Linked DNA regions of Lepisosteus oculatus. Each later gene encodes a partner of the first gene's protein in a complex. Links are inferred from orthologs where the notes say so. Each region holds a gene or a part of one and is shown in the gene's direction. Other genes may lie near its edges. The genes, in order: nfkbiab and chuk.

Region 1 (15,324 bases):
TGGTGAGATCCTAACAGATACTCCATTAGTTATTTCATGTTTCTCCCTCACCCCTGCTTCTGGCTAGACGCGTGCGACCTCTTGGTGTCGGAACACAGCGCATTAACGTCGTGACTTCGGGAAGACGTGGCTTTATTGTGAGTAATAAAGCATCTGTCCGCACGACGAGCCTCGGACAGCAATACACCTCTTTGTGCTGTTTGTCCCCTAATTCTTCACAAATGTGCGAAAAAAAATTAAAATGAAAAAACAAACCTACACAAATAAGTTTATAATAGGAGTTGAGACTGTTAATTCAGTTATTCTTGTTCTTGTTCTTGTTCTTGTTCTTGTTCTTGTTCTTATTCTTATATTCTTCGTGTAAACTATCACAATTTCAGTCTGAGGGCTAATCAGTTGTTATCCTGGGGATTCTTTCATTCGAGATGTAGCGCGTTTGCGCGGATGGACGGGTGGATTAATGACATAATCAAAGTGCTGTGGACTCTTCAAAATCGATTCCTGCCTGCGAGGCCTGCAGCCGCAATGAGGGTGAGAGCAGTGATTGGACTGGGGGCCTGAGCGCCACACAACTAATTTCCTGCGGATCGCTCCCATTCGGGCCCCGCGGCACAAAATGATGGGAACGACTTTATTTGCCTTTTCCCAAGTGAGGATCCTCCGCTATCTTCCCAGCAGAAGGGTGGTGGAGCTAACGCCGTTGAGAGGATGGAGCGTGGGACCACATCTGCAGGCAGCTTCCACCACTGATAACCCGCCAGCGGGACAGAGCGGGCCGGCGGCCTGCCACCTCCCCGCCGGGGCTGCGAGCGCCGATAAGAGATCAGAGCCGCACAGACAGCCTCATTCCTGCGGCCACAGAATGGCCAGTGTGTGTGTGTGTAGGGGGGGTGACTGGAACATAAATTAACACAGATGCTGCCAGAGGATCAGCGGAGAGCGTTGTAGCTGGTGATTCGGGCTTTCTCTGAAATAGAGCATTGCCGCTTATTTGCAAACGAATTTGCGAAATTGAAAGCACAGGCCGTTGACAGTTAATATAATGTTGCCAGGACCTGTCCCGCCCTGAAGTTTATATTCGGGGAGGCGTGCATTCCAGACGGCGACCTTTGGACACTCCTGGACCTAATTGACACAGCAGAGATTGCCATGAGAGAGCAGCGCTGAGCTGGGAAGCAGATATTCAGCAAGCCATACCAGAATGAAGCAGACTGGTTGAAGGTGGCCCCTCCTGTGCGTGCCATTGCCCGTGCGCAAGGACGGCGGTACAGGAGCAGTTCAGATCGTCCAGGCCCGCAGAGTAAAGAGGCGTTTTAACCGTGCGGGCAAAACATCAGTACAACCGCACAGCTCCTCTAAAACTGGAGTTGTCCCATCTAAAATTTCTTCTTCTTTCTGAAAGAATATTCAAACTGATCGATTCTGTGAGCAGTAATCCGTATCCAAATCCACATTTCTTTTGGCTTTGCTAGATCTTCATTCATTGGTGTGAATGAAGATCTAGCCATGAAGATCTGGTACACTCCATCCTGTAAGAGACCTTCTGTTCACTGTGTATCATTTCCATGTTTGTTTGATGCAAAAAGTCTACTTGTGTTTTCACCAGACAGACAGAGCGCGGTTCACATGCTGCTTCACGAAGTGACAGGTCACGTCGGCCAGGTTTCTGCCTGTACGCTGTGCAGTCAACAGTTTATTTCAGGGGTGTTTGTTAATGTATCCGTAATACCGTATTTATACCTCCCTCCTTAAAAAAAATACGAATTCACGTTCGCCGACCAGTTACATGAAAAGAACCATTCTACATTTCTGACCCCACGGAGTTCATGCACTCTAATTAGACAGCGGGAGGTTTACATGAGGTTTACATGACCCCCCCCAGTGCGACCCACCCTTCGGATAAGTGAGCAGACTGTCAAAGATGAGTGTATTGATTTATTTCTTTTATCCCGCTTAAGTAACATTCTGGGCTTCTCCTCCTCCAGCATGAGGCTTCCAAATCACCGAAATAGTTAATCAATCCCCCGCTAGCAGCACGTAGGAATGCGCTTCGAAACCTGTAATCATTTGCTTAACGAAATCTAAGCAGCCGCGTTTCTGCCGGGGAGGGTCGTTATTCTGTCGCTGCTGGAGGGCTGGCGCGATCCCGCATGACGACTGGCCTGCCGGAGCAGCGCTGATCCGAGGCGACGTTCAGCACTGCGGGAAGCGGACAGCTCCCGCACCTACACGCTCCGGCAGGCAGAAGGGCCGCCGTTTGCTTTGTAATTAAAAATTAATTGTTGCTAATTAGCGCCAGCGTTCGACCGACCCAGGCGGCGAGAGGCGCCGAGTATTTCTGTTTTGATTGCAGTAATCATTTTGAATAATGTTAGGGGGAAGAGGCGCAAATTTAATCCCCAGGCAGGATGACAGGGTCACTGATAACGCGTTTTGCCGGAAACGACCCGTAAACAGCAGTGACGGTGTCTGAAAAATAAGATATGAGATTCACAGCAAAATTAACGTTCCGTTCTTTCCAAGTCTACTTTTATTGCTAGTGCGAGAAGTGAGCACTCTATTCCTCGATTTACTTAACGAAATGAATCCGTTGCTGTTCGTAAAAAGAAACACCAGTCGACCTTTTCACTTTAAGTGCTGATCATTACGTGTAGGAGTTGCACTGACAGTATTTTTATATAAACCTTTATGAACATTTTATTTGCTCGGGGTTTAATTGTTCTACATCTATAGACAGTCTGCGTACCACTCTGTGTCCATTATATATTTGCTTAAAGTTCAATTCGAAAGAGCGGTGTAGGTCTCTTTCAGGCACGGGGTCCTGCTTGGGGGATGCACTTGACTGCTTCATGTTTGCGTGTAATAATGTCTCGCAAGAGCTCCGTGTTCTTGTACTCAGGAGAACACTCCTAATTTATTCATTTTTCTGCATTACTCGGGTGCCCCACAAGAGGGCGCCAACAGACGTTTTTAGTTGACAAAACAAAGGGATTGCAAAGTTTTATAATGCTGTACGTTACGTTTCGCAGCCCGCGTTCTTAATTTAAAATTTTACCGACATCTAAAAACAAAAAGGTCCCGTTCAATGCAATGAGTACATGGGTAAATTATAAAATGAATAACATTTGACTTATACCAGAAAAAAACTTTCCATATGATTGATGTTGTTTAGCAGTTTTAGGCACTTAACGCATTTCAAATATTCCAGCTTCCGCACTGTCAAGTCAAGGAGTCAAATCGGGTGTAGAAGGAACAGAGGTCAGGATTAAAGTCCTTGCAGTGACCTGCAGTTTTGTTTTACTTTGAAATTACAGTCTTGTGTGACTGTTCAGAGAAAGTAGACAGTACAGAACATCCAAATAAAAAACACGCTTTTATTTAAAAAAATAAGCAAATTGATCATCAATATGAAAAGAAAATATCGCAAGGCTAATTTAGTCTAAATCTACATTTCATTAACAGTACTCTATTGTACTGCTAAAAAACGTACATTATCTATGATTGGTATGATGTTTTATAGTGATAATTATCCTGTCTGCTAATGATTAGAATGTATTACAGATGTGTTTTAATAAAGTACTGCTGAATACTGTGCCAAAGAGATGTCTCCACCTAGTGGTAAACTTCCGGTCCCGCAGTCCCGCGCAGCCCGATGTACAGTGTCTCTCGTCTACACTACTGGCGGCGGACAGCAGTGGGGGATAAGGCCCTCGTGTCGTGGGAGCAAACACCAGCGGACATAAGGGCACTCCAGAACCAGGACTGAGAGTCACAGCTCCCCTGCCTGGGCCCAAAATACTGTCTGAGCCAAACTGTGTCTGCACGGGCTCACAGCTGCATCATCATGACACAGTATCAGAAACAGGGCGTGCTCCAGCAGGGTGGATAAGAGTGACTCACTTTGCACAGCACTACAGTGTGTGAAGTGGCAAAGGCATTCTTGTCACTCACTGTACACAGCCTTTACAGATGTTCTAAATTTAAACAATTTGAAGTTGAAAGGAGATCCCAAAAGGCGCGCTGGAGAAATCACCTCTGCTGCTGAACAGCCTGTTAAACGGGATTTCTGTCCTGTGATTCCTTAGTGCTCACACAGCTGGCTTGACAAAGGGAAATTCCTCACTCGGGGACGTCTCTGGTCACATTCCTGGAGATCCTGTCCTGATGCAGGCTGCTAAGACTAGGCCAAAGCAACATTTTCACATTTCTCTGGACTTCTAGTATCTCCTAATAAGGAATGTTTATTGACTAAATAAAACACAACCTGGAGTGAATATTTTATCCTGGTTTAAAATTAAGCATTGTCATTTTTTTTCCTTGTATCACAAAAAAGTGTCTGGTTATCGTTCTTCCTCTGGTAATCCTGTTTTACTAACAGTGATGAATTGAGACACATTAGGCTTGGTCTTATAGAGAGAGATGTCTGGTAGAGATAGAGATGTTTTTGACTCTTTACTTCAGCCCATTAAGAACAGGCTCTTGTTAACAGCGATGGCCTGGACAGCCATTTACACAGCAGAGCCAAGACTGGATCGATCTGGGTGAAGCTCAGAGTTCAAGGCTCCAGCAGCAGTGTTTCTCCTGGGATTTGAACCCACAACCCTCTAGTCCAGAGCCCTGGTCATTCCTTAGGGCTACCTACTCCCTGCTGTCTGGGAGGGGTGATTTAAAATTTCCTCCATCTGATCGTTTTTATAGTTTTAGGTTTTCAGCCAGTAGGTGCTTTCCGATGTCATTTTGGGCGACAATGGGACTGAATCGTGTGTGATGCTTTGGGTTACTTCAGCAGGAACCAATTTCTGTTTTTGAGTATCTGCCTTCAGGGTTAACAGCTATCTATGATACAGTATTTCAGTATATCTAGTTTGGCTAGATCCTAATGAAGGCGATAAGGGGCTGAAATATGATGAGTATGTGGAGTGACTCACCTGGCTGAGGGAGTGCTGGCCTAGCTGTGAGGATAAGGCTGCCCAGATCCCCTCCCTATTGCGAGGAATGAGCTGGGGAGCTGCTACAGGGGTGTAGGGGGGGAGGTGGGGGAGAGGGTGAGAGATAGGAGAATTAAGTCCTTATATACTGTACGCAGGCATGCTGAGGTCTGTGAGATAGGATCTAACCTTGCTCTGAAACTTCTGTTGTAAACTCCATTAGTTTCATGTCAGGGTTCGATTCCATATGCAGGTGTCCTTGGGAGTGCACGTGGATTGAGAACTGGCTAACAGGCAGATAATGGAGAGCAGTGATAGTGGAGGTACCGTCACTATTGACTAGAATGCTACTAATAGCCATATATTCCGTAACAGGAATGACAATTAATTATGTATATAAAATATAAGAAATGTAACCTACAGTACATACTAAACATTTGCCCAAAAGTAGAGTTTTCACATCATTTAAAGAAGCTCAGATTATCTGCAAGAAATCCAGGCTTGGATTTGTAAACTCTACAAGTCTAACCTGTGACTTTGGATGTTTCAGCTCAAACACCCATCAAACAACAGCCAAATGTGCTGTGAGAACCTGTGAACTTCAAGCGCAGACATCGATAGTACTAAGACATCAGGACTAGCCATGGTGTCTGCAGATCTCCGTCTCGCAGAGGAGTTTCCCGGTGTCATGGTGTAACGAGCGTAAAGACTGATCCATGATGAGACATGAAATGCCTAGCAGCTATTTAAACAGCTATTTTGTTGAATTTGTGTGTTGAATCAATGTCCTCTGTTCTCTGTGCAGTGCTGCATGTTCACCACTGCTGGACTCGTAGCCCCTGGCTTTTCATCCGGCTCCTCCAGAGCTGCACACTGGGCCCTGATGTCCAGCAGTGCTTATTGCATGGGCTCTCTTGGATCATGGATCAATGGGCGCTTTTCTGTAAGAAAATATCTTTGTCCTCCTTGATGTTAAAGCCGTTTCGAGACACATCAGCAAGAGAACATTGCCATTTACCTGTTTCCTTTAGCAAAGCTCATCTGTGTTCAAAATGTAATTAATGCATTTTGTCCCTTCGTTTCGTTCAGGAGCCAATAGCTTCATACAGAGATGTTCCTGCACATTGTAAAGTGCACTGCAGCTTTCCCATAGACAGCTCCAGCCCAGCTGTCCCAGGAATCACTATATCAGACCGCAGAATAAAACCCTGGGCGGGTAATTTCACAAACCGTACACATCTAGTCAGCTGCATCACCCACTCGCTGGGCGCACGGCTAATTTCTTGCTTAATCGCGGCAGTATGGCCTTGCGTGGATTTGCATCCCAGCCCTGGCTCTGACTCACAGCAGTGTCTGCCCCACCCAGTGGGTGTGCTCCCGCCAGGCCCCAGGAGCTGCTGGGAGCCGGAGCTCGGAGGCCCAGCTGGAACGCCAGTTCCCACAGGCTGCAGCCCCTGGGCTCAGGCCCTGCGCGGAGCCGTCCTGCCTGGAAGCTCCAGCTGCAGGGATTCCCCGGACTCTCCCACTGCGGGAATGTCAGCCACCTCAGCGCGGGGAAGTGGGAGGCCGTTTGGCAAGAGGACGCCTGGCGCTAACAGATGAGGATAGGAAAGAACTACGCATTTTAAAGCAGCTTCGAAAAAACAACAACTGTCCCTCAGTGAAAGAGTTCATTGCAGTTGAACTGAGTTTTGCAGCAAAACGCCGAAGCAGCACAGAAATTCAGTACACATGGACTCAGCTGACTGACGGTCCTGCTAGGACACGGCAGCTTTCAGGCGTAACCCACCTCACAGCTTCCTCCAGGGAAAGAGACAGAGAGTGGGGGCGGTCAATCTTTCCACCCTCTCAAAAGGTGGTGAGCTATCTGAGAAGGTATTAAGGCACCTGCAAAGCAGCAGCAGAGACGTCCTGCTGTGTCCGGTACAGCATTGCCACGGCCTGTTTAAAAACTCATCTGCCATTCACACCCACAGAGGTCAACGTAAGGATGTACTGTATAATTTCCATCAGGCTTTTCTTTAGTCCCCTTCTCACCTTTACAGGAGGCAAAAGCCGTAGTTTAATCGTGTTAAGAAAGTGACAGGCCTGTCTGCTTCGGTGGTCAGTATGCGCTTTGCTGCAGTGATGCCGCGCCACAGAGCTGTGTCCAAGCGTTGTATAACTGACAACACGGGTATCTGAACCAGAGGGGCGTCGTCCCACCATCAAAAACAGAGGTCTGGTCTTTTATTTTCATTCGGCTTGTTCTGTGACAGAGATGTGGCACTGGAGAGTATGCCACTAGGGAAGTATTAAGAAGCATGACTTTATTAAATTAAGTGATTTGGAGGCACTTTGACCTTGCGAAAAACCTTCAGTGTGGTGTAAAAATAAAATAAAATGCAGACTACAAAGGCTTGAAAACAATGCTCGAGGATACAAAACAACAGCATGGCCCGACGACAATACTTGTGAAAAAGTGCCTATGTGGCGAAAACTAATAAAGAAATGAAGGAATGGATTATTCGGATTAAAAGTCTGCTTTTGGAATAGAGCCGTTTATCAAAGGCAGTGCTCACACTGGCTTATTATTATTATTATTATTATTATTATTATTATTATTATTATTATTATAGTTTCTGACAGTTTTTAGTCTACACGCTATAAAAACCAGCATTTCACTGAGGCGAAAGCTGTTGCTGTCTCTTGGCCGCCAGGGGGGGCTGTGGAGTTGAAGAAGGACTCGCGCTTCGATACCGTTGCTATGCTGCGGTTGCTATGTTTGTAAAATTCATTGTACTAATGCAGTACAGTGTTTTGCAAACAGAAAATGTCCGGGGTTACTCATCTCATGTCACAGGTGAAGCCTCGATCAGGTGGAGTTTCCCACAGCCGTAATTCTGGAATGGATGCTTTCATTCAGAAAAAAATATATAAGAAACTGAAAAGTTTTTTTTTAACCATAGCAATAGTGACCTAATTAAAGTGTGGTGCTTTTTTAAAACAGAGGAAAAGATAAATGTACGTCATACCGCACACATAAAATTGTCTCAATCCAGAAACACTACAGCAGCGCAACCAATCGTTATGCAAAGTTATAACTCATAAGCTCTTCTCTCCTGTACCTGGATTCTGTCGTTGTCTTCCCGTACATTACAAAAAAAACAGTTAACTACTTTTGCAAAGATTTGTTTTTCCTGCAGTGTTAACGGCTATGCATGCATTAGATCGCAATGTCGGGATTTTCATGAACACATTCTGAGTTTTTTGGGGAAGAGTACATCTTCAAGGGGTTTCAGGCTGTTAAGAGGGTTTCTCCATGAGGAAAGTCCAGGTTTTTCTTTGCTTGGTAACTTATTGTTTGAAGCACGAGCATGATCAGAAGATTTTTATTTACAAATTCCCATCTCCGCTACAAAACAACAGAATACCAAGAGAATTTTTTCAAATGTTTTCTGCCGTCTGGTGCTTTTCTTTTCTCAAGAAACAAAATTCCTGTGTGGGAAAAGTCTTTGTCAGACATGTCTAGCACTTTATATTTAAAAAGCACCGTGCAATGTTCAATTTCCCACATGCAAAATAATTGAATCGTACCTCGAAGGTTAATAAAAAAAACACACACTCTTAAAACCGTACCCAACAATAAAATAGCTGGGGTATAGCCTTCCAATACTATCAATAACACATGTCCTCAAACAGAGTACTGTATAAGAGTATATATATATTATTTAAATTTTCAAATTAATATTTAGGGGCAACCCCACCTATTGGCTGAAGTCCCCCAGCCTGTGCAGGAGTAAAACGCCCTCGGCTCGAACCGTGGGTTATTTCCCCCAGAAAAAAACCCAACCCTCCCAGGCGCTGTTGTCCGATATTCAGTGGGACTCTGAACTCGAGTGGAAGTGAATCTTTCCCAAACGAACCTCCTAAATTGAGTTCCCATTTCCATCACGTATTTTCTCTCTTTCTCAAATGCTCCCCGTTTCTATCTGAACATGGAAACCCGTGCCGGCACCCAGATCCCCTTTATTTTATTTGGCCGATACCGTCCATATCTACACAGACGGGGTGCACAGTGCCGAATGTAAAATACTGTAGCTTCACCGTGAAAATAGTCGTGTGCGGGTTTAAAAGAACAGCGCTCACCTGCAACGTACTTACAATACAATGCAGGTTTTGTTTTTTTGGGGGGGGGAGCTCAGCATTTGTAAAACTCCTTTTCAAAAAGACTTTTGTTTTCTCTGGCTTACAGAACACTTCCCTGCTTCAGGGTTCATCATGGTCCAGGACCCTGTTTTTATTTAACATTTTAAGTTCTGACTGCAACGACTTCCCAAGCTACAGTAACATAAAACGGCTGGATTTGTTTTTAAAAAAATATACATATAGCTGTTGTTAAAGCAATGCAAAGCAATTCGGAAATTATTTGTGAATCCCTAAATGTCCCATCTCGCGTACTTATTCGGAAGCCTGCCTGGAGATCGATGTCGTACAATATCGTGCAAACCAAACGTGATTTTAAAGAAACTTAAAACTCTCTCATGCGTGGGGAAGGGTTAAAAACTACCGACCCCTTCTCTACAAATAACATTTTAGAAGCCCTCACGACTCCGCAGCGCGGGAACTTATAGTGTAAAATCGAGGTTATATTGATAGGAAACTACAAATTTTCATTCTTACTAAACGGACTGATCTGGGGGGGAATTTTCCCCATAAAAAACCCTTGTTGAGTTTCCCCAGCTGCTAACAATGTTCTCACAAGGCTGCCTCGCCAGTCACTGGAAATCCCCGGCTGCCTGTTGCTCCGCCCTTGCTCGCCTGGCTTATATTGGACGGGCTCTGCGCCGACACTCATTTTGAGCTCAGAGCTAGAGAGAGGACTGTCGGAGGCGCGACTCAAGATCAAAATGGAAGCTATTAATGGTAACCAGGGATATTACAACATGGAGGATCGGGATCTGAAGCATGGGAAACATTTGCAATGCCAGGACGAGAGGCTAGACAGCGGGTTGGATTCTTTGAAAGAGGAGGAATATCAAGAAATCCTGCAGGACATGGAAAACCTGAGGGTGAATCCCACGGAGGCCAACCGGAATGACTTCCACAACGACCCGTGGAAACTGCAGAGGACGGAGGACGGAGACACGTAAGTTGAATTTGTTGACCGCGGAGGACCCGCGCGTTACGAAATAACGAGGAAAGAAGGGCGCTTAGTACGAGTGCATGAGCTGGGGTTTGATCGAAAACGGCGTGGCTTGTAACAAGCATATGCCGTGCTTTTACAGAAGAATCAAGAAGTGTTCAGATAGAAACGACACCATAAGCGGGGGGGGGGTTCGTACTCGGAAACAAAATGACCATCGCGCACCAGAGCACGCAGGTCTGCAGGGAGTCGGGCGGCACAGACAAAAAGGGTGCATGCGAGAAACTTTTTTTTTTTTTAAAGAGTTCAAAAAAACCTTCGGTCTTTGAGGCGAGAAGGCGCTGGGCGTTAGTCGGAGGGGTTGACGTAAACAGCGGGGCTCGGAGTCCTCTGCGCCTCGCAGGGGCGGCGGCGGAAAGTCCCTGGCGCGGCGCCAGCGGCGGGGCGCTCATGTGTCAGGACCTCGCTAGTGGAAATTACCACCGAAAACCCAGGCTTGCGCAACACGCAAGTGCTGCTTCAAGCACTTCCCTCCCTCCCCCCCCCCCCCCATCGGCCTCCTTTCCAGTCCCTCCAGAAACCGTGTAACTGAATGGATTCTCATCTTCTTTTCCTCCAGGTTGCTCCACCTGGCTGTTATTCACGAGGCCGCGGACTGCGCCCTGCAGATTATCGAGCGCTGCCGCGGTGACCCGTTCCTCAACGTCCAGAACAACCAGAGACAGGTAATTTCCAGCAGAAGGGATGTTTTTGTCTAGTTCCCTTTAGTGGGGAGGAATTGTTAATGGGGGTTTTTTTTTTCCTTCAGATTTTAATGTGCAGTGAAGACGTTGATGAGCATGGATTGACATTCCTCTTCCTTTCTCTTATCCAAATAGACGGCTCTCCACCTGGCCGTGATAATGGAGCAGCCCCAGGTTGTGGAGAGGCTGCTGACCGCTGGCTGCGACCCCAGGCTGACGGATGACTGTGGAAACACGGCCCTGCACATCGCCTGTAAGAAGGGCTCTCTGCACTGCTTCAGCGTGCTGACCCAGGGCAGCACACAGCACCTGCCCTACATCTTCAACACCACCAACTACAACGGTAGGTAACCGTTGGCATTCGTCGTGCAGTGATGCCCTTTATTAATGTTATTAATGTTAACTCGGAGTCAGCTGGCTTTGGTAAAAATAAAGACTCTGAGCTGGAAATCGCCAACATTGACGCCAGAAACAGAAGGCCTGGTGCCGATGTTGAATATCTGGAAAGATCGGAGGATCAGCCCCACTACCACGCTGAACCATGGTGGCCTGTCACTGACCAGCTTGCTCTTCCTTCTCCTTTTCCAGGACATTACTGCCTCCACTTGGCCTCCATCCACGGCTATCTTTCGCTGGTGGAGAACCTCATTCAGCTGGGTGCCGATATCAATGTGCAGGTAGGTTTGTGCTCTGCCTTGTTGGGCAATTCCTCGGGGTTCGAAGGGGCATATCGTGAGAGGCTGGGTGGTACACTTGAGCATCTTTTCTGGAACACGTCTTCCAGTCCACCATTAGAGCCTTGAGTTTTAGCGGGGACTTTGCTGTGAGATTGTGCTTCCGCTGGCTCTGGAGAGCGTGTGGCCTGTCTGACGTGAGCTCGCCCTGTCCTCGCAGGAGCAGTGCAACGGCCGGACCGCCCTGCACCTGGCTGTGGACCTGCAGAACCTGCCCCTGGTGCAGCTCCTCGTCGCCAAGGGGGCCGACGTCAACAGCCTCACCTACGGGGGCCACACGCCGTACCACCTGACCTACGGCCGGCAGAACGCGGAGATCCAGCGACACCTGTACGCCCTGACCGCGCAGGACCTGCGGGAGCTCCCGGAGAGCGAGGCGGAGGAGAGCGACGACGAGCCTCTGTACGAGGAAGATGACGTAAGTGTCCGCGCTGTCCCAGTCCTTGGCTGAACCGGGTGGGGGTGGGGTGTTGACGCATGAGGCACTCGACTGAAGCAGGAGCAGGAATTAACGTGACACTAGTTGTCATCAGCTCTGATTGGATGTGTCGAGAGCCGTGGGTGGTCACTGGTTTCCTTTCAGGAAGCTAGACGTGGCGGTTCTCTTACCTCTGCAGAAAAGTGTGTGTGGGAGGGGGTTCTTGACTCCTGCGGGCCCCAGAGCCTAACCTGCTCCTTTGCTTTCCCCTCCAGATGTACGACGACATTCAGCTGGTGCGGCAGTAGTGCTCGGGCCCGGGAGCCTCGCGCTCTGCTGGAGGAGCAGAGGAGAACACAGCCGCTGGCAGGTCCCAGAGCCTGCCCTGGCCGGCAGCCAGTGCCAGCAGGAGCACTGGCCAGACTCCGTGTCGCCGGGCCGAGGGCGTGGGAAGTGTTTGTGGAGAGGAAGGGCGGGGCACAGGGGAGCTGGACAGACAGGCTTTGGAACTGATCAACACTGTGAGCCCAGGGAGGATTGCACTGGGACCCAGACAACCAGTTCACTGCACACAGAACCTGTACTGGACCTGAATTTCCAAAGGACTCTGACTCGGTCTTCACAACCCGGAATTTCTGCAAGCTGTACACCTTGGAGTGTAAATATGTAAATGATGTACTATACAGAGAAATCTATTTTTTTTGAATGAACTCTTTTCAAATAAGTTTCTTGAAGTAAATGAAATGTTATTATACATGAACACTATCGAGTGTGTGAGTATCTTGTATGTTTTAAGTACTAACTGAGGAGCCATACCTGTATACATACTGTAAGCAAGAATAAAAAGAGAACCATGACCTCTGTGAATTTGTCTTGAATTCTGGGATGTGAACAGGAAATGTGATAGTGGTGCTAAATGGGGGGGGGATGAGCTTTTTAGAGATTTGAGAGGAGTAGCTCAGAATTTGAGGGTCGCAAGCGCTTCCACTTGGAGGTTGATAACGACATTGGGAGTCCTGGGATTCCAGCCTGCAACCCCGGTTTATAGTCGGCTACTCTGAGGTGTTAATTCCACTGTTCAACAGCACAGTGTTGCCCTCGAGATGAAGTTAAGACAGTGCAAAGTACAGAACACCCCAAAATATCTTTTTTTAATATAAAAAATGGAGTGCTAAAATATCTTTGTATAGTCCTAGGTGCTACGCAACATTCTTAGACTTGCGCCAAATTGATTTCACCATGGCTGTCATTCATACTGTGGTGAGGGGGCTTGTAACTGGAAGTTGATGGGCTCAAGCACCAGAGAAGATGCTGCTTCATCCACTCTTGAGCAAGACACTTCACTTGAATTGTTCAAGACAAACGCCCAGCCTTATAAATACAAATATTTGCTTTGGATCAAGACATGAGCCTGATCAATCAGTAGTACTGTGTACACACTCGTCAGCCACGTCTTGGGGCACGGTCTGGACAATTATCTGGGAAGAGGATCGGATTGTCCCTGTGCATGCTGTACGTGCCCTTTTCCTTGTCTGATCAGCAGGCTGGAATTTCCAGAATGGGTGGGAACTTCCAACAGGCAAAGGGATTGTAAACCCCCACCCGAATAAAGGCAGGCTGCTTTTATTTCAACTTTTCAACTTTCCTATATCCCACGTCTTCATTCACTTAGGATATTTCCCCTGGGAATTAGTCAGGAGAGGGGTTTCAAAGTGCAGCTCTGGGAAATGCGAATTGGCCACGAAGGATGTTGAAAGAATTTCAAGAAAGACCGTCCACATTCTGAACAAGGATTGACTCACTGGGCATTTCCAAATGATGCACTACAACTACCCCAATGCACTACACTGAAAATAAACAACATTCCTTAACACAGAGAAGTTAGATTAGTTAGTGAGTTACACTAAAGGAAAATGAAAGAGGTATTTTTGTTCAGTATTTTCTAAATAATCTTTTCCTAATACCTGCAAACAAAACAAACAAGTCTGATTTGTACCACTGTGTCTTTCCAGGCAGCTTTTCAGAAACAAAGCAATCCACACTTTTTTCTTCTGAAAGCAGAATTCAAGTATTTTTGGAAATTGGCGTGGTTGTCATACTCCAGTGATTATCTCCACTATAACAGACGTTTCCTACGTCTGAATGTTTAAGCAGAGCCAACTCTGGTAAAGTTTTCTTTTTTTTTCTTTGTTCCCGTGCTCGGGGGAACATGCTGTTCTACAGGACATTAGTGAAGCCATTAATTTTTTTTGCTCGGCACTATCAGGTATGTGTTGCGCAAAGCCTCACTCGTTCTTTGGTCAAGGGAGAGAGTTCCCTTCATGTGGTCAGAGAGGGAGCAGAAAGGCCAGGGGTCATGAAGGAGAGGGCTGAGGCTTCGTTCACACCTACTCTCTTCAATGTGGCTTTAAATGTTATAAATACCCAGTGAATAGAAGCAAACATCCTCCCACACATGAGGAAAACCGCCAACGTAGGATGGCCGAATGCTTGTGTCCCCCGCCCCCCCCACACACAAACAGACTGCCAGTGCTGGGGGGTACTGAAAGAAGATGGCTTGTTGGTTTGTGAGTGGGGTGGGGTGTCAATGTGTGTGTGTGTGCTTGGTGCAAAAGATCAAGCAGAGGGTAACCCCATCCCTGCATTTTCCAACCACTTCATCCAATAATTCCACACTGGGAAATTTTCTTCTTCCTCCAAAAGGCCGATGGATGAGTAAGGGGGACATCGGGCAGGAGGAGGAGAACGTGGTGTCCATGGAATCGGAAGTCTCGGCGATGAATTCCGAGGGCAGGTTTGTAAAAGAATGGAGAGGTTAAGGAAGGAATGACCGAGTCACAGAATGCTAGGGGAAGGTGTAGAACTACAGGAGTTAAAGGAGAAGTTTCACTGTGAAAGGCCACAGACACAAAGGGCAGCGCGACCATGGCCTGGATTGTCAAAATCAACCCTTGAGCTCTGGTCTTCGCTGCCCTGACGTGCTGCTTGTCTTCTGTCTGTAGCACCAGTGGTAATGGCAGGAGCTTTCTGGAAGAGGTGCAATCAATATTTAAATGAGCTGGACAACCACGAGGCCTCTGGGTATCCGTGTTACTGGCTGGACGTTTGCTGGTGATGCATCAGCAGATGGTGCCTGGTGTGGATGGGTGGCATGAGGTGATGGTGGCTGTGGACAGTTAGGAGGATGTGGAGCAAAAGGCTGTGGAGATCAGGTGGTCAGTGGTATGAGATGATGGTGGATGTGGACGATGTGGAGTAGAAGGCTTTAGAGATCAGGTGGACTGCATTATGAGATGATAGGTGGGTCAGGAAAAATGTTTGCAGTTGAAGGTTTACCCTGAGAACATTCCAGGATCATCCAGAGGCTTCATTTGCC
Region 2 (14,579 bases), on another chromosome or scaffold:
AAGACGGCAATGTATTCTGAAAAATGTAGTCTGAACATATTTAATGGCTCTTCCGGTTTTCTTAAAATCAGGCTGTTCTGCATGGCTTTTACTGCTCTCAGATGACCTTCCCCATAATACAAATGGCAGCAGAGGATTCCACAGGAAACCTGACCTGTAAATTAGCCTGATAAACCGAGAAACTTGTGTTTTAGAATTGGATTAAAAACTTGCAAACAGCAGCCATATTGAATACTACATGTGGGTGTTCCCACTGTCTCAGAGCAAATGAAAACATACACTGTGGCTTAAAACAATGAGTAACGGGATATTGTGAGAAACATTAGCAAGATAAAGCATAGTCGCAGAGAAGGAAAGAATGACAGGCCAATTAATTTTCAGCTTCTCGGAGAGTGTGAATCATATCCCCTTTGTGGTGAAAGAATTAATAAGAGTGTTTATACACCAAATAGACGTTGCTATTTTGTACATGGGAAGAGAAAATAGGAAGTGTGATGCTTAGCACATAGCTTTGTGGTTGTGGCCACAACAAAATATGTCCTAGAAGGTAATTAAGCCTTCTGTACAGTTTGGTGTCTAAAGATTGGTTAACTTTAAATGCTAAAGGCAGGGGTCTCCAAATCTGTCAAGTTGGGTGACCCTATTTAACCCCAAAGGCCATAGTGGAGACCCTCATTTTAAATGAAGCACAACCAGAGTGAAATAGGCTAGTTCGGGATTGATAAAAACATTTCAAAACCAGTGTAGTCAAGGAAACTGATCTACAGCAAGCTGTGCTCAGACAGCTCTGTCCATAACAGCAGCACCTTACTGAGAGAGGATTTCAGCTGTGGTATCCAGGCCTAACTAAAGACATCCCAGACCATCCCAGGTTGCTCAGGACTCACTGAAGATGCCCCAGGCCTTCCTGAGTCTTCCTCGGGCTTTAGTGAAGATGACCCAGGCTTACTGAAGGTATCTCAGGCCTCACTGGCGATGATCCAGGCTTACTGAAGGCATCTCAGGCCTCACTGACGATGATCCAGGCTTACTGAAGGTATCTCAGGCCTCACTGACGATGACCCAGACCTTACTGAAGGTACCTCAAGCCTCACTGACGATGACCCAGGCCTTACTGAAGGTACTGTATCTCAGGTCTCACTGACGATGACCCAGGCTTTCACAGAGGAGCCTCAAGGACCGTTAATGCTATGAGACAGACTTCCTATGATGAACTCTCCCTGTTTATCCTAAGACTACTGCATAAAACCAGTCTTGACTGAAACAAATTTATGACCTGAACAAATTATGAAATTAATCAGAACCTGTAAAACAACGTTTAAATGTCACATTTCTCATTGAAAATGTTCCCAGTTTTGAGTTATAACAGTTTTTATGTTAACTAGCTTACAGCATACATAATATTAATTTCCAGTTTTCCATTGCTTTGTTCAATTTATAAGGTTTTAGAATAATTACAGCTTTAATAATGATAATGATTTAATAATAATATTACAGATTTTCAATCAAAGCTTGAATTATACATTGTGCCTCATCAGCACTCTGTTGAGATTCACCAATCACACTTCACAAGCTCTGTTCAGAAACAGCAGAGCAATCAAATGCAGTTACCGGGAAAAAAACATGCTCGTCTCCTGTGCTCGGCAACTATTACCTCTCCTCAGAGATGATAGTCTTATCCACATTCCTTCTTTCACTTTGATGTACTCACATCTACTTTATTATTTGTAAAAGAACACTTTTTCTTATTGAACATGAATCATTTTGAAATAACAATAATATCTTAAGCAAAGTATTTGTGAAGTATTTTAGTAGTTCGGAGAAAAAAAACTGCGATTCGCAGAACGATTTTCACAACGTGATGTTTCAATGCAAATTTTGCTGGGTTTTATTTTAACTCGACTCCAACCAATTTTCCCAAACTGAAAACTGAGTACGTTGCATGTTTTATTTTGTATACCAGCATTTTACCTGCATCTGAGCATTCCCAACAGAAGGTACATTTCGTTGAAGCAAAAATCCTTTCGTCAATCACAACGACATTATTTTCGTGATTGTACAGCGGCCTCTAGTGGATGTGCTGAGCGTTTCTTGCTTCCTTGCAGACAAAATCATTTTCGCGGTAAGTACAACGGTAAGGTCCAAGTTGATTTTTCAGTACGGTATTTAGTTTGATTGTCATAACATCTGTTCGGATGGAGAGATTGTTCTGATCACATTTTTTTATCTTATCAAAATAAGCTTTTAAAATTAAAATTTTATGTCGAAAATTAAACTTTTTCAGAAAAGCCATTTTGTGTTTTTATCTTCTTTGTCATTTTCTTTAATTGAATAGTGCCTTGAGACTATTGTTTTTAAAGATTCTATATAGAATAATGTCTTTTATGATCTTTTATTGTATCATTCATATTGTAGTGATTTCAACACGACCTCCCCCCTTTCATATAATAATATTAATGATTATTATTATTGTGTCTTTCAGAGTAACATCTCAAAGTGCTTTATGGTAGGTGTAAAAAAGAGTAATAAGGATAGTAAATTACAGAATAAACATGTAAGAATCTCAAATAGTTAGAAGAGCAGCAGAAGACACAAGGTCATTAGAAAATGGGGCGGGCACAGACACTAATTAAGAAAAAGGCTTTGTAAAAAACTCACTCAGGGTAGGTGGCTCTCTGATATCATTAGGGAGAGAATTCCAGAGCTCTGGGGTGCAGCAGAAGGTCCTGTCACCCACAGAGAGTGCATGGGCTGGGGGGACAGGAAGGAGTCCAGAATTGGACGAGCGAAGGCTGTGAGGTGGGAAGTAGACAGATAATGAGACAGATAGGTATTGATGTGCCAAGCCATTTCCAGCCTTATACAGTAGGCGAGCACGGGGATTTTGAAGTCGACATGAAGCCGGATAGGAAGTCAATGTAATAATAATAAACTTAATTTTATATAGCACCTTTAAAGGAGGCTTCTCAAAGCGCTTAAAGGACTGCAAGACGGGCATACTGTGATCACCTGCACATGACCTGGTCAGAGTTCTGGCTGTCGTATTCTGGACCTACTGGAGCTTGTTCAGTGTGGATTCAGATGCCCCAGTGGGTAGGGCACTGCAGTTCATCCTTTCCTGCTGTTTCCCTTTACAAAGCTGGGAAACAATCTGTTCTCTCTCTTTTCCCCACCTCTGGAGTCAGGAGGATGCCTGCTTCCTCTCCGTCTTCCTAGCTTGACCTGCTCCGTGACACGCACCCCCCCTCTGCTGTAATGACAAGGTCAATTAAACTGTCAGTGAGCCTGTAGGTTATCTCCACCCTGTCCTTCCTAATGCTGCTGCCGCCGAAGTGAGCGTTCTTTGCATTGGTGTTACGAGTGGGATACTCCGCCACAGGAACACGGCAACGCGAACGCTGTCCAGCCTGAGCTGGGGGAGTGATGGGCTGGCAGGCTGACGGTGGCTCCCTTGCGCTCACTGCCCCGGAGGAGGTCGAGCTCTTGCACCGCTCTCCTGCCATCGAAGACAGAGGGGGTCATTTAGCACCACCCCCACGAGCTGTGGGACTTTTCTGCCAAGGCTCCACAGAGGACGCCAGCCAGCACCACCCTAGCGAGTCTGTCCGGTGACAGGCCCCCCACCCCACCCACCACGAGCCTCAGGACCCTGCTGCCAAAGCAAGTGCCCTCCGCAAACCACAGCAGGGGTGCCAAAACCCAGCTGCTCTGAATCAGCTGAAGCCCCCCCCCCAGACCATGAGCCGCGGGGTACTGTTGTCATGCCTGTTCTTGTCACAGTCCGTGATTCCTCTGCTGGCCAGGTGAGGGCTGTGAGCCGAGGACGCTGGCTGGTCGCCAGGCGGATGGGAAGGCCAGGAGAAGCCAGCGCCGCCGTGTCCACGCGCGCTCCGACAGAAAGTTGCCTCTATGGAAGAAGGCCCACCCGAAGCTCGATAGTCCCAGTGCCGGTGTCATCGCCCTCCCGACATGTAGCAGGGACCTCAGGCGCCTGAGATGAGGGAGGTCTCCGGCGTAATGCAAAAGGGAACCAGCCCAATGAGCTGAAGGAGACCTCCCTCAACTCAGGCGCCTGAGGTCCCTGCTACATGTAGGGAGGGCGATGACACCGGCACTGGGTTCACGCCCAGGCATTGTGGGACAAGCCAGCGGGGTGGAACGGCGAGGGCAAGAGCCCGCTTGGAACCACAACAGTCAGACCAGCTGATGAAGGCAAGCCCTCCCTTGTTGCTGTATCCCAGCAGCCACTGCGTGCTCCTGTCCTCTCCAGACCAGATCCCTGCTGCTGCCCACTGCTCGGAAGACAGTCAATCCAACTCCAGGATTCCCAATTCTAACTTCATTGTTGGACTGTCCCCACGAACTCTCAGCCTTTACCACAGGTTCACATTTCCTGCCTTTTCCCTCATTAAAACCATGTGCAATCCCTCCTCTCCCACTCCCCTGTTAATCCAGATAACGTTTGCTTCCTCTCTGCCTCTCTCTCCTCCGTGACTAGCTGGCCACGCTGTAATGAAAAAGGCAATTAAACTGTCAGGGAGCCTGTGAGTCGTCTCCAGCCTGTCTTTCCTAAATGCCGCCGCCGCCAGGACTGAAAGGAAAGCGTTCGTTGCAATATTAACATGAACTGTAATCAAAAGTACATAAAAAGCACGACGCGCTACAGCTTCCCACTATGCTGTAAAGCCTAATATAATGGAACAAGCAACCCATTCTCTTTGAAGCCGATACCCTGGCCTCTGTCATAAACTGACTGTAAGGGATCATCGAACCGCTTAGCTACTCTAAACGAGCAACTTGGGACGAAACGTCTATTACGTTTGCGTGCTTTCTCAGGTTGGCGTGTGCTTAAGGTAAACCCGAAGTAACTTCTATAGCGACATCTAGAGGTAAGAGAAAATTCGGTTTCTTAAAATGACCACGGTACAGTAACCATAGCAGTGACAATTTGTTATAGAGGTTTCATTTTGGGTTTTGTTTAGTCACGACTGTGAGACACACTTATTGGGGCAAAAGGTATTCTTGAGGCAATAGGTTCTGGAAAACATTCAGGTCTTGTTTCGGTAACGCTATCAGCTCAGTTCCCTTTGATACAGTCGACGGACACGGCTCTGTTAAAGCTCCAGCTACCTTTATTGGTTGGTCTAGAAACGATTTTGACCGGTGTGCCTACCCCTTTCAAACTGACACGTATCTGTTTCACTGAGAAATTCTGTTGGATCTTTATACAGCTTTATACAGAAGTTAAAATTAGAAAATACAGCCCTAACATGCATTTTATGCCAATGAAAATAGTTTTTTTTGTGTGTTTTCAAATCCTGGTATTAAAACTGCATTGTTCTTCCAAAATAATCTAGCTAGGTACATTAAGCCAGGAGATGCTAATACATCTGTTTATTCAACCTTGCCTTGCTCAAAATGTTACTAGACAATATGTTTTAGCATTGTAAAAGTTCTTCACTTGTGGATCACAGAATTGATTTTAAAATGGCTACATTAAAAATAAAGCTCTTGGTGATTAAGGTACTGTATATCTTCAAGAGATACTTAGTACGTATGCTCACTAGATCTACAGACTCTCTTTGCTAGTTGGGCCAATTGGACTGAGTTAAATAAACCATGACTCCTTGACTTCTATTGTACCTCAGCTGAAAACTGTTAATTTAAAAGTATTTCTAGTCAAAATTTATTTTTTTCCCTTTTGTATGTAGGTGTTACATTATTTTCTATTTTTATGCTTTGGGTTTCTCTGGTGAAAGGAACATTAATAATAATAATAATAATTGCTTACACTTATATAGTGCTCTTCTGGACACTCCACTCAAAGCGCTTTACAGGTAATGGGGATCCCCTACACCACCACCAATATGAAGCCCCACCTTTTGCAAACAGCCATAGAACACCAGAACACTCATCACATATCAGCTATCAGTGGGGAGGAGAGCAGAGTGATAGTTCATAGAGGGGGATTATTAGGAGGCCATGATTGTTAAAGGCCAATGGGAAATTTGGCCAGGACACCGGGGTTACACCCCTACTCTTTTCGAGAAACGCCCTGGGATTTTTAATGACCACAGAGAGTCAGAACCTCGGTTTTACGTCTCATCCGAAGAACGGCGCCTGTTTACAGTATAGTGTCCCCGTCACTATACTGGGGCATTAGGACCCACGTGGACCACAGGGTGAGCGCCCTCTGCTGGCCCCACTAACACCTCTTCCAGCAGCAACCTTTTTTCCCAGGAGGTCTCCCATCCAGGTACTGACCAGGCTCACACCTGCTGAGCTTCAGTGGGTTGCGGGGTGATATGGCTGCTGGCAATAAAACTTACAATTTACATTGCTTTATAGAAGAATTACATACAAAATTCAGACTTCGTATGAAGTACGTTAGGGCAGAGTGGTGGCACTGTGGCTTAGGATCTGTGCTTGTGGCCGGAACGTTGCCGTTTCATATTCCGCGGCCGGCAGAGGAATCCCCTGAGCAAGACCCTTAACCCCAACTGCTCCAGGGGCGCTGTACAATGGCTGACCCTGCGCTCTGACCCCAGGCTTCTCTCCCTTTCTGTGTGTTTATGTCTCATGGAGAGCTAGCTGGGGTATGTGAAAAGACGAATTCCCAATGCAAGAAATTGTATATGGCCAATAAAGTGATCTTAACTAAAAAAAAGTAGTCAGTGTTTATTATTGTGTAAGGTTCGCAATTACGTTCAAAATTAAAAATTGCATGAAAACGCGTAACGGATGGCGAATATTCCCATTCGCTGTTTTGTTTTTGGTCGGATACAGAGCCCAAACCGTCACGCAGGTATCGGAACTGACAACCTCGAGACCAGCGCGCGGGCACCCGGAGGTACAGGAGCGCGTGCTGCTCCGAGGCGGCGGTGACGTCACTTCTGGGAAAGTCCAAAGCGCCGCATCTGAAGGGCGGAGGGGAGGTAGAGATTACTGCTGGGAAGCGGGGAGGAAAGGGGGCAAAATTGCAGAAAAGGGGGGTGGGGGGGTTTAAACCTGTTCAGCGCCTGTCGCGGTATCGAGAAAGCGGTTCCCCCGTGAGCATGGGGCAGACCGACAGCGGCTGACGGACGGGAAGCGGGCTTGTTTACATGCAGCAGGCCGGCGGCCTCGGGTCTGGCATCCGGCTGCGAGGGGAGACATGAGCGGGCCGCTGTGACTGCGCGCTGTCAGAGCTCTTGGCCCGGAGGCTGCTTGCCGACTAAGTCTCATTGTGTGAACATAACAGAGGTGAGTGAGGCGTGTGTGGAGTCTAATCCCCACCGCGGGGGCTGTGGCCATTGGACCGGCCGAGCCGAGCTGGCCCAGGCGGGTCTGTTTTGAAACTGGTGCTCTTAGTTCAGGACGGCGAGAGGATATGGCAAAGTTTATTTTTCAGCCACTTTAAAACAAGCGAGACGCGGATATAAGGCTTCACGTATTTTAGTTAACGGTTCTTTTCCGTGTTTGTGACACGGGAGAAACAAACACGCAACAACTCCGAGTAGCCTCCGCTCCAGACTACGGATTTCATTTCCCTCAGAAAAGCGTCGTGTTGCCGGTCTGAAGTCTCGAGAGAACCGTGCTGGGTTAAAGGTCATGTCGATTCCACAGGGCTTTTCAGTGGCAGGTCGGGGTAACATTTTTGTGAACCCGTGACCCGGCGCTTCGTGACGTCGGCGTCCCGCGCTCCCGTGTTCCACTTTATCCACGAGCTGAGCTTCCAGGACGGCACGGGCCCCGGTTCGGGACCTGGCCCTGGTCTGCAATGTTGACACCCAGGAGAAGCGCTACTGGCCCTGCTGCTGTTATCCAATGGCACTTTACGTCACCCAGCTGTAAAATACCTACCCTTCAAATGTGCATTACGTGCAGAAGTGCAGTCAAAACAAGTGCGTTAATATAGTCAGAGCAAAGTGCAGTAAGATTGGAACTATAAGTACAGTCTGCATACTTGAGCAGTGCAATCCAAGGTACAAAAATAACAGGGATAAATGACAAAGAGTCTGTACAAGCTTGTCCTGGTGCTGGCCACAAATGAGCTGCACCATTGCGAAAGTGATGCTATTTTGGGCCCGATTCATGAACACAAGGGCTTTTAATCCATTTCTTAGCTCAATGTACAGCACAGACAGATGCTCAGTGCTTGAGAAATGTCTGAAATTTCGCTCCAACAGAAAGGGGATGCTTTGAGATGTTCTGGATTGAGCATTGTATGATTTTCTTTGTGTATTATTTTTGTTCAGTGTTCTCACAGTCTGGTGTATTGGACCTCACTCGCATTAAAAAAAATAATCTAAGGAAAATTAACTTTTTACAGCAGAGAATGGAGAAACCGCCGTTCAGGCAGAATCAGGTGTGCGGATTGTGGGAGATGAAGGAGAAACTGGGAACGGGAGGATTCGGCCATGTGTATTTGTACCAGCATCTGGTGAGTGCAGCAGGGATGACGGCTCTAGAAACGCTAATGCTTGGGGTAGAGAGGCCAGTGGCTGGAGAGCTATGTGGCCTATGATCAAGGACCTGGTGATCGCCAAGGGCTCGCACGCGTCCCTCAAGCTTTGTAGCTTTGCCCTCACAATTCAAGACACTCATCCATATTCCCCAGCTCCGGGACGCTGAACGTGGGCTTTTACAAAGGCATTCGCCCCAAAGCGACAGTGTAGCTGTGTGTCAATACAGAGGGACAATAAACAACTTCATTGCAAAAAAGGAAGTTTCTAAATGCAGGCGCCAGTCCCAGGGGGTGATGGCGATTCCCTCTGTCGGCCTGCGGGCTGTATCCTCCGGGGTGCTGAGCTGTACTCTACCAGTGGAGATAAACTGTCCGTCTGCATGGTGCTTGCTCTCCACTTGACTGGTGCCTCATATCCCGCCTCTGGGGAAAAACTGAGAAGCTTCTGGTAAGCTAGAGCACCAGGTTTCTAATTTGCAGCTGGGTGATGGGTGCACATCTGTTCCTGAAGCTTGGCGTGTGATCAGCACGCTGGCTCAGCGACTGATTGTCTTTGTTATTAACAAAGTAGATATTTTGGGATATTTATTCCTGTTTTGTCTTTTTTTTTTGGTTTTACTTGACACAAGTTATAACGTTTTATTGTATTTCTTTTTTTAATGTGACTTCGCTCGGTCTGCTGTTCTTTTTTTCTTTTCAAAAGGAGACAGCCGAGAAGATTGCTGTCAAGTCGTGCCGCTTGGAGCTGACTCAGAAGAACAAAGAAAGATGGTGCCGGGAAATACAAATCATGAAGAAGTACGTCTGAGACTCTGTGGAAGACAGGAGAGCTCTTCATGGCTGTCCTTCATTTTCAGCACTTCTTTTCTTCCCTCTGATTATCCTGTCGCAAGCGTGGCTTTCCCGTGACTTCCCTAAAGAATGTTTAGCTCCGATGTTATGCATATCCCAGCTTCTTGCAAGAAAGGGGAACGGCCTGTTTAAGTTTGCATTAGGACGTAGATTAATAGTGTCAAACAGTACCTTTTATTTGCATGCACCATTAAAGGATGTGGTTTTGAGGGACAGTATTTAGCATGCTTTTTTCAGCTTTGTTTCAGTATTTGCAGCATCACACTTGTGATCTTTCTGCCGGTTAATGTGTTCGTAATTTTCCGGCCTCACAGTTAAATGCATGCCATGTGGGGGCAGGGATTCCATAGCTGGTGGCAGCACAGTTGGTTAGCACTGCGGCCTCGCTGAGCCAGGGTCCCGGGTTCAATTTCCAGGTTGCTATCTGCGTGGAATTTATATTAATGTTCTCCCTGTGTTCACATGGGTTTCCTCCCACAGTCCAAGGACATACTTGAAGGTTATTTGGCTTTTGGGGAAAAATGTCCCTGGTGTGAGTGTGTCTGTGTTTGCGTCTGCCTGCGATGGAGTTGCGTCCCCTCAAGGGTGTACTCTGCCTTTCAATCGCTTGCCGATATAGGCTTCAGCTCCTCCGTGACCATTTATTGAATGAAGCGCTTGGAAAATACAGGGATGAAATCCATAGCCGTGAAAGAGTTTTGTAGAGGCTGCCTGTGTAAGCTTTAGATCACAACTCCTCAATGATTTACAAGTTGGTTCTATTTTTATTTCAGGCTTAATCATCCCAATGTAGTGACAGCCCGGGAAGTGCCAGAGGAAATGACAAACATAGCCTTTAATGACCTCCCACTCTTAGCAATGGAATATTGCTCCAAGGGAGATCTTCGTAAGGTGAGACCCTTAAGAATTCCCTAATTCATTGTGTAGAAAATGCAGCACTGTAAAATATATCTCATGGGAAATGGTACTTGTAGAAGCACTTTTCAGTTTAGTGTTTAAAAAATCGCTTCTTCAAATGTGTTATTTGCTAATGATATTATATCTGTCTGATTGAGAAACGTAGTTCTACATGAATTACAGTGAAAAAGAGGTGATTAGATGCACATTTAAGGTGCAACATGCATGCTCTTTAATGAAGCAGGTATAGTTAGTAATGTAACCTTTTTCCTAGATGTTGAACAAGCCAGAGAATTGCTGTGGATTGAAAGAGAGTGAAGTGCTCTCCTTGCTCAGTGACGTTGGTATGTTGTCTATAAATCTTAGTTTTACATATACGAAATACAAAGGATCCTGTATTTACTGCTGGGTCTTTCCCACTGAATCTTTGTCATGCTCTGTGTAGCATGGTTTTCAAATGGGACACCTGACGGTGAATTATTTAGTTTTTATTGGCAGATGCGCTGGATTAATTAGTACAGCATTTCATATAAGATACTTGTGGTGAAGTTTTCCCTAAGCTGGTGTTCTCATGTTTTTGATTTTGTGATCATTGGGAATTAAAAGACTAGTTTGTTTTCTTCTAATCTAAAGTAGATTTAAGTTTGATTAGATAGTCACAGTTACTGTTAGAACATGTAGCAGACACAAGTGGGGGTTTTGAACAACTTGTTGATGCTTATGAAACACACATGTTGAACTCCTGATTATATATAAGATTGCAAAGACTTTTTCACAGCACTTGTATTGTATTGTGTATATATGTGTATTCTAGCAAAATAAATGTATAAACTGTATTTAAAAAAATGGTGCTCTTAAATTTTTAATTTTTTTAAAGGGTCCGGCATCCAGTATTTGCATGAAAATAAAATTATACACAGGGATCTTAAACCAGAGAACATAGTTCTTCAGGATGTTGATGGAAAGGTAAGACAGCAGTCTTCATGGTGGTTTATTATTCAGAATCTGTTGATCTTTGCTATCTGGTGATGTCTTCTTCATTTATTGAAAGAGCAAGAGCAACCAAAGAGCTTTTTGTTGGGTGCTCTTTAGATTTACTGCTAGATCTAGGCTTTTACCCATTGGTTTCTCAAAAAAAGTATAACGTGATTCTTGTTCACTACTAATTTTTTGGTGTTTTAAACATTTTTTTCCTTTGTCTCTAGTTAGTCCACAAAATAATTGATCTGGGGTATGCCAAGGACCTGGATCAAGGGAGTCTTTGCACATCGTTCGTGGGAACGCTGCAGTACCTGGTGAGTGTCACCAGGGGCGTTACCTTGTGACCTTGGAAGTGAAGAGTTTTACCCATTTTTGTGGGTTGCACAAAGAGAAGGTTACCGTGATGTGAGATTTTTGTTGTGTGTTGCTATGACGTGCTTGGGAGACAAATATACTTATTGATTAGTGTACTGTGTACTGCAAGTGACCGTACGAGACTGTGAAAAGTCTTTGCTCCTTTTCCAGGCCCCCGAGCTGTTTGAGAACAAGCCGTACACCGTGACAGTGGACTACTGGAGCTTCGGCACAATGATCTTTGAATGCAGCTGTGGTTTCCGTCCTTTTCTGCATAATCTCCAGCCCATCCAATGGTAAGTTTTTCAGTTAAAGGTGAGCCGTGAATTAATATTTGGCTGAAAAGGGCTGGAGAGGGGTTGCGAGAGGCCGTTGTTAATTTATTTAGGGTTTGGTGAGGTTTCTTCTAAAGCAAATAGTGTAATTTCATCTGTTCATTGGGGTGCACTCTCTTAGATACAACAGGTACTCTGTGTGCCTTTTGACTAATCTCTTCTTTTTTTCATTTTTTGAACGCCTCTTTCAGGACCACAAAAGTGCGTAACAAAGGCCCAAAGGACATCATGGCTGTTGAAGAAATGAATGGGGAAGTCAAGTTCTCCACCCACTTGCCTTACCCTAATAACCTCAGCAGGTCAGTAATTTTACTTTGAGGTACAATATCTCTGTCACTGAGTTAAATGAGACGGAGAATTGCATGACCTGGGGTAAAGGGACCAAAGCTGAAATCTCCAAAAATGTTTGCATGAGGTGAAACATGCTACTTGTGTCTCCATACCCACTATGTCCGACACAATGTGACGTTGTTACATAATTACTGTTGTGACTTTGTAAATTTCATTAAATCTGGGGAATTTAATATTAGGTTTTGTGTGACTTATGGTTTGGTTACACCACCTCCATCTCACACATTATTGTAGTAACTCTTTCTGTGATGTTGTTTTCTGTGCAGGACAATGTTGGAGCCTCTTGAAAGTTTGTTACAGCTGTTGCTGCGATGGGACCCTGTGCAGAGAGGAGGGCCTGTACACTCTGACACAAATCAGCCTCAGTGCTTTGTTCTTCTGGATATGATTTTAAACATGAAGGTATTTTTCAGTAGTTTTTCTTTTCCTTTCTCTTTCCCCTTCAAGTTAAAATCTCAGTCTTAAAACACAACCAAATGCTTTTTAAGCTTTAGCTCTTCCATTTTCAGAAATGCTTTTGATATTCTTTCTGAAATGTTTGCTTCCAGTCAATAACAATACTAAAAGAACCAAGAATCAAGTTCACATTGGTGTGTTAGTTACTTCTTATATATTGCTTCTTTTTAGAAAATAATGTAAAAACTCCTTTGGTTCTAAATGGCTGTTTTTGTGTCTAGGTTGTGCACATATTAAACATGACCTCTGCCAAAATCCACTCGTTTCAACTGAGCCCAGAAGAGGGACTCCACTGTCTTCAGCAGCGCATTGAATTGGAGACTAGCATTGAGCATCTGAACCAGGAGCTGCTGCTTGAAACTGGGGTCTCCCTGGACCCCAGGAAGCCTGCAGCTCAGTGTGTCCTGGATGGATTTGTAAGGAGACATTTTACAGCATTTTGTGATGACATTTTGTATGGTGCTCAAACTGCCTTATTTTTGTAAAAGGTGATGTTTGTAATGCATTTTGTTCTCTTTTGTTTTCACGATCCAGAGAGGATGGGACAGCTACATAGTTTACCTGTTTGACAAAAGCATGACTGTATATTCGGGACCTTTTGCGGCCAGAAAACTACCAGATAATGTCAATTTTATAGGTATGTTTTGGTAATGTTTTTAATGTAATAAGATTGACTTCTTGGAAGATTTCTACTGGGCCTCTTGTACTCCCAAGAGTACTGAGACTGTTTCCCACTTTTTAAGTTCTGTAACGTTTTTTCACCCCTTCTCATTGTTCTTTGGGATTGTGGTTTAAAGGGGATCTAACCAGGGGATTTTCACATTCAGTAGTGAAACAAGCACGAGGGTTCACAATTGGAAATTGTTATGATTTATCTAAACTATAGAATAGGAAACATTTATACAGTTATGGGTTTCTAGAACTGGCTTCTTAACCAGGTGGTTGAGGCCCAAACTTTGGGTTCTTTTAAGAAACAGCTGGATAAAATTTTAGTTTTAGCTGCTAAGTGACCAGATGAGGTAAATGGCCTCCTTCATTTGCCACCTTTCTTATGATGTCCTTGTCCTGTTTTTAGTCCGGGAATCCAGAACACAGTTGCCCAACAGCTCACTGAGGAAAGTTTGGGGTGAAGCAGTGAGTTACATCTGTGGACTGAAGGAAGACTACAGCCGCCTTTTCCAGGGACAGAGAGCAGCAATGTACGTGCTCCTACATCATTTTAAATTGTTTCTGAGGTGACAAAGGAAATCAGAGCAAAGAAAGAGTCATTTAATATGGTACTAATGAAAGACGGGTTTTGCTAGAGCTGAATGAGGGAGACGCAGTTCTGCAGATGCTTTGGTTGACATTGATGGTGGCGTGTTTAGCATTACATACAATTCCAGAATTCAGTTTTCAGTTCTTTAGTGGAGTTTGCATGTTCATCCCAAGTTTTTGGTTTCCTCCTTCCTCCTAATAACACATCATTGCATGTTTCATTTTTAAACTTTATTTGGAGGTTGGGCTTCATTTGTTATTCTTACTTGTTCCTTTCTAGAAAGGTAGGGGGTTTCATGGGTGTTTCATATGTGTGGCATTTTGTTTCCAGTACATTGAGTACTGCCTTTTGGGGCTACAGAGAAATGTTATAGGAGTTTCAGCTCCTAGAACTGGCATCTTTGGCCTTTCTGATGTTTACTAATAAAAAACAAATTAACAGTACATGTGAGTGTATCGTAACATGTAAATACAAGTGAAAGTACTTTTAATACTGAGAACAGGAAACACTTACCTTTACCTTACAAGCTGCCCAGCCATATTGTTGAACCCAGTACACTGGCTTCTTTCAAGAAACAGCTGAATCGAGATCCTGGATCCATAAGCTACAAACTACCAAACAGACCAGATGGGCCAAATGGCTTCCCCTT

The links.
Region 2: nfkbiab (region 1) and chuk share a complex: the UniProt entries of both Homo sapiens proteins name them as parts of the 70-90 kDa complex. The link is inferred for Lepisosteus oculatus from reciprocal best matches to the Homo sapiens genes NFKBIA and CHUK.

The regions. Positions count from the first base shown.
Region 1 is NC_090703.1:3,275,257-3,290,580, forward strand, and holds nfkbiab (nuclear factor of kappa light polypeptide gene enhancer in B-cells inhibitor, alpha b), read left to right. Parts: upstream 1-9,752; 5' UTR 9,753-9,817; coding exon 9,818-10,056; intron 10,057-10,672; coding exon 10,673-10,778; intron 10,779-10,931; coding exon 10,932-11,139; intron 11,140-11,384; coding exon 11,385-11,473; intron 11,474-11,690; coding exon 11,691-11,948; intron 11,949-12,223; coding exon 12,224-12,256; 3' UTR 12,257-12,805; downstream 12,806-15,324. UniProt on the Homo sapiens protein: Inhibits the activity of dimeric NF-kappa-B/REL complexes by trapping REL (RELA/p65 and NFKB1/p50) dimers in the cytoplasm by masking their nuclear localization signals.
Region 2 is NC_090699.1:17,631,695-17,646,273, reverse strand, and holds the start of chuk (inhibitor of nuclear factor kappa-B kinase subunit alpha), read left to right. Parts: upstream 1-6,894; 5' UTR 6,895-7,242; intron 7,243-8,311; exon of another isoform or gene 8,312-8,314; 5' UTR 8,315-8,317; coding exon 8,318-8,422; intron 8,423-9,149; coding exon 9,150-9,244; intron 9,245-10,071; coding exon 10,072-10,189; intron 10,190-10,469; coding exon 10,470-10,539; intron 10,540-11,072; coding exon 11,073-11,161; intron 11,162-11,400; coding exon 11,401-11,490; intron 11,491-11,701; coding exon 11,702-11,826; intron 11,827-12,056; coding exon 12,057-12,164; intron 12,165-12,482; coding exon 12,483-12,618; intron 12,619-12,893; coding exon 12,894-13,088; intron 13,089-13,206; coding exon 13,207-13,309; intron 13,310-13,747; coding exon 13,748-13,871; intron 13,872-14,579.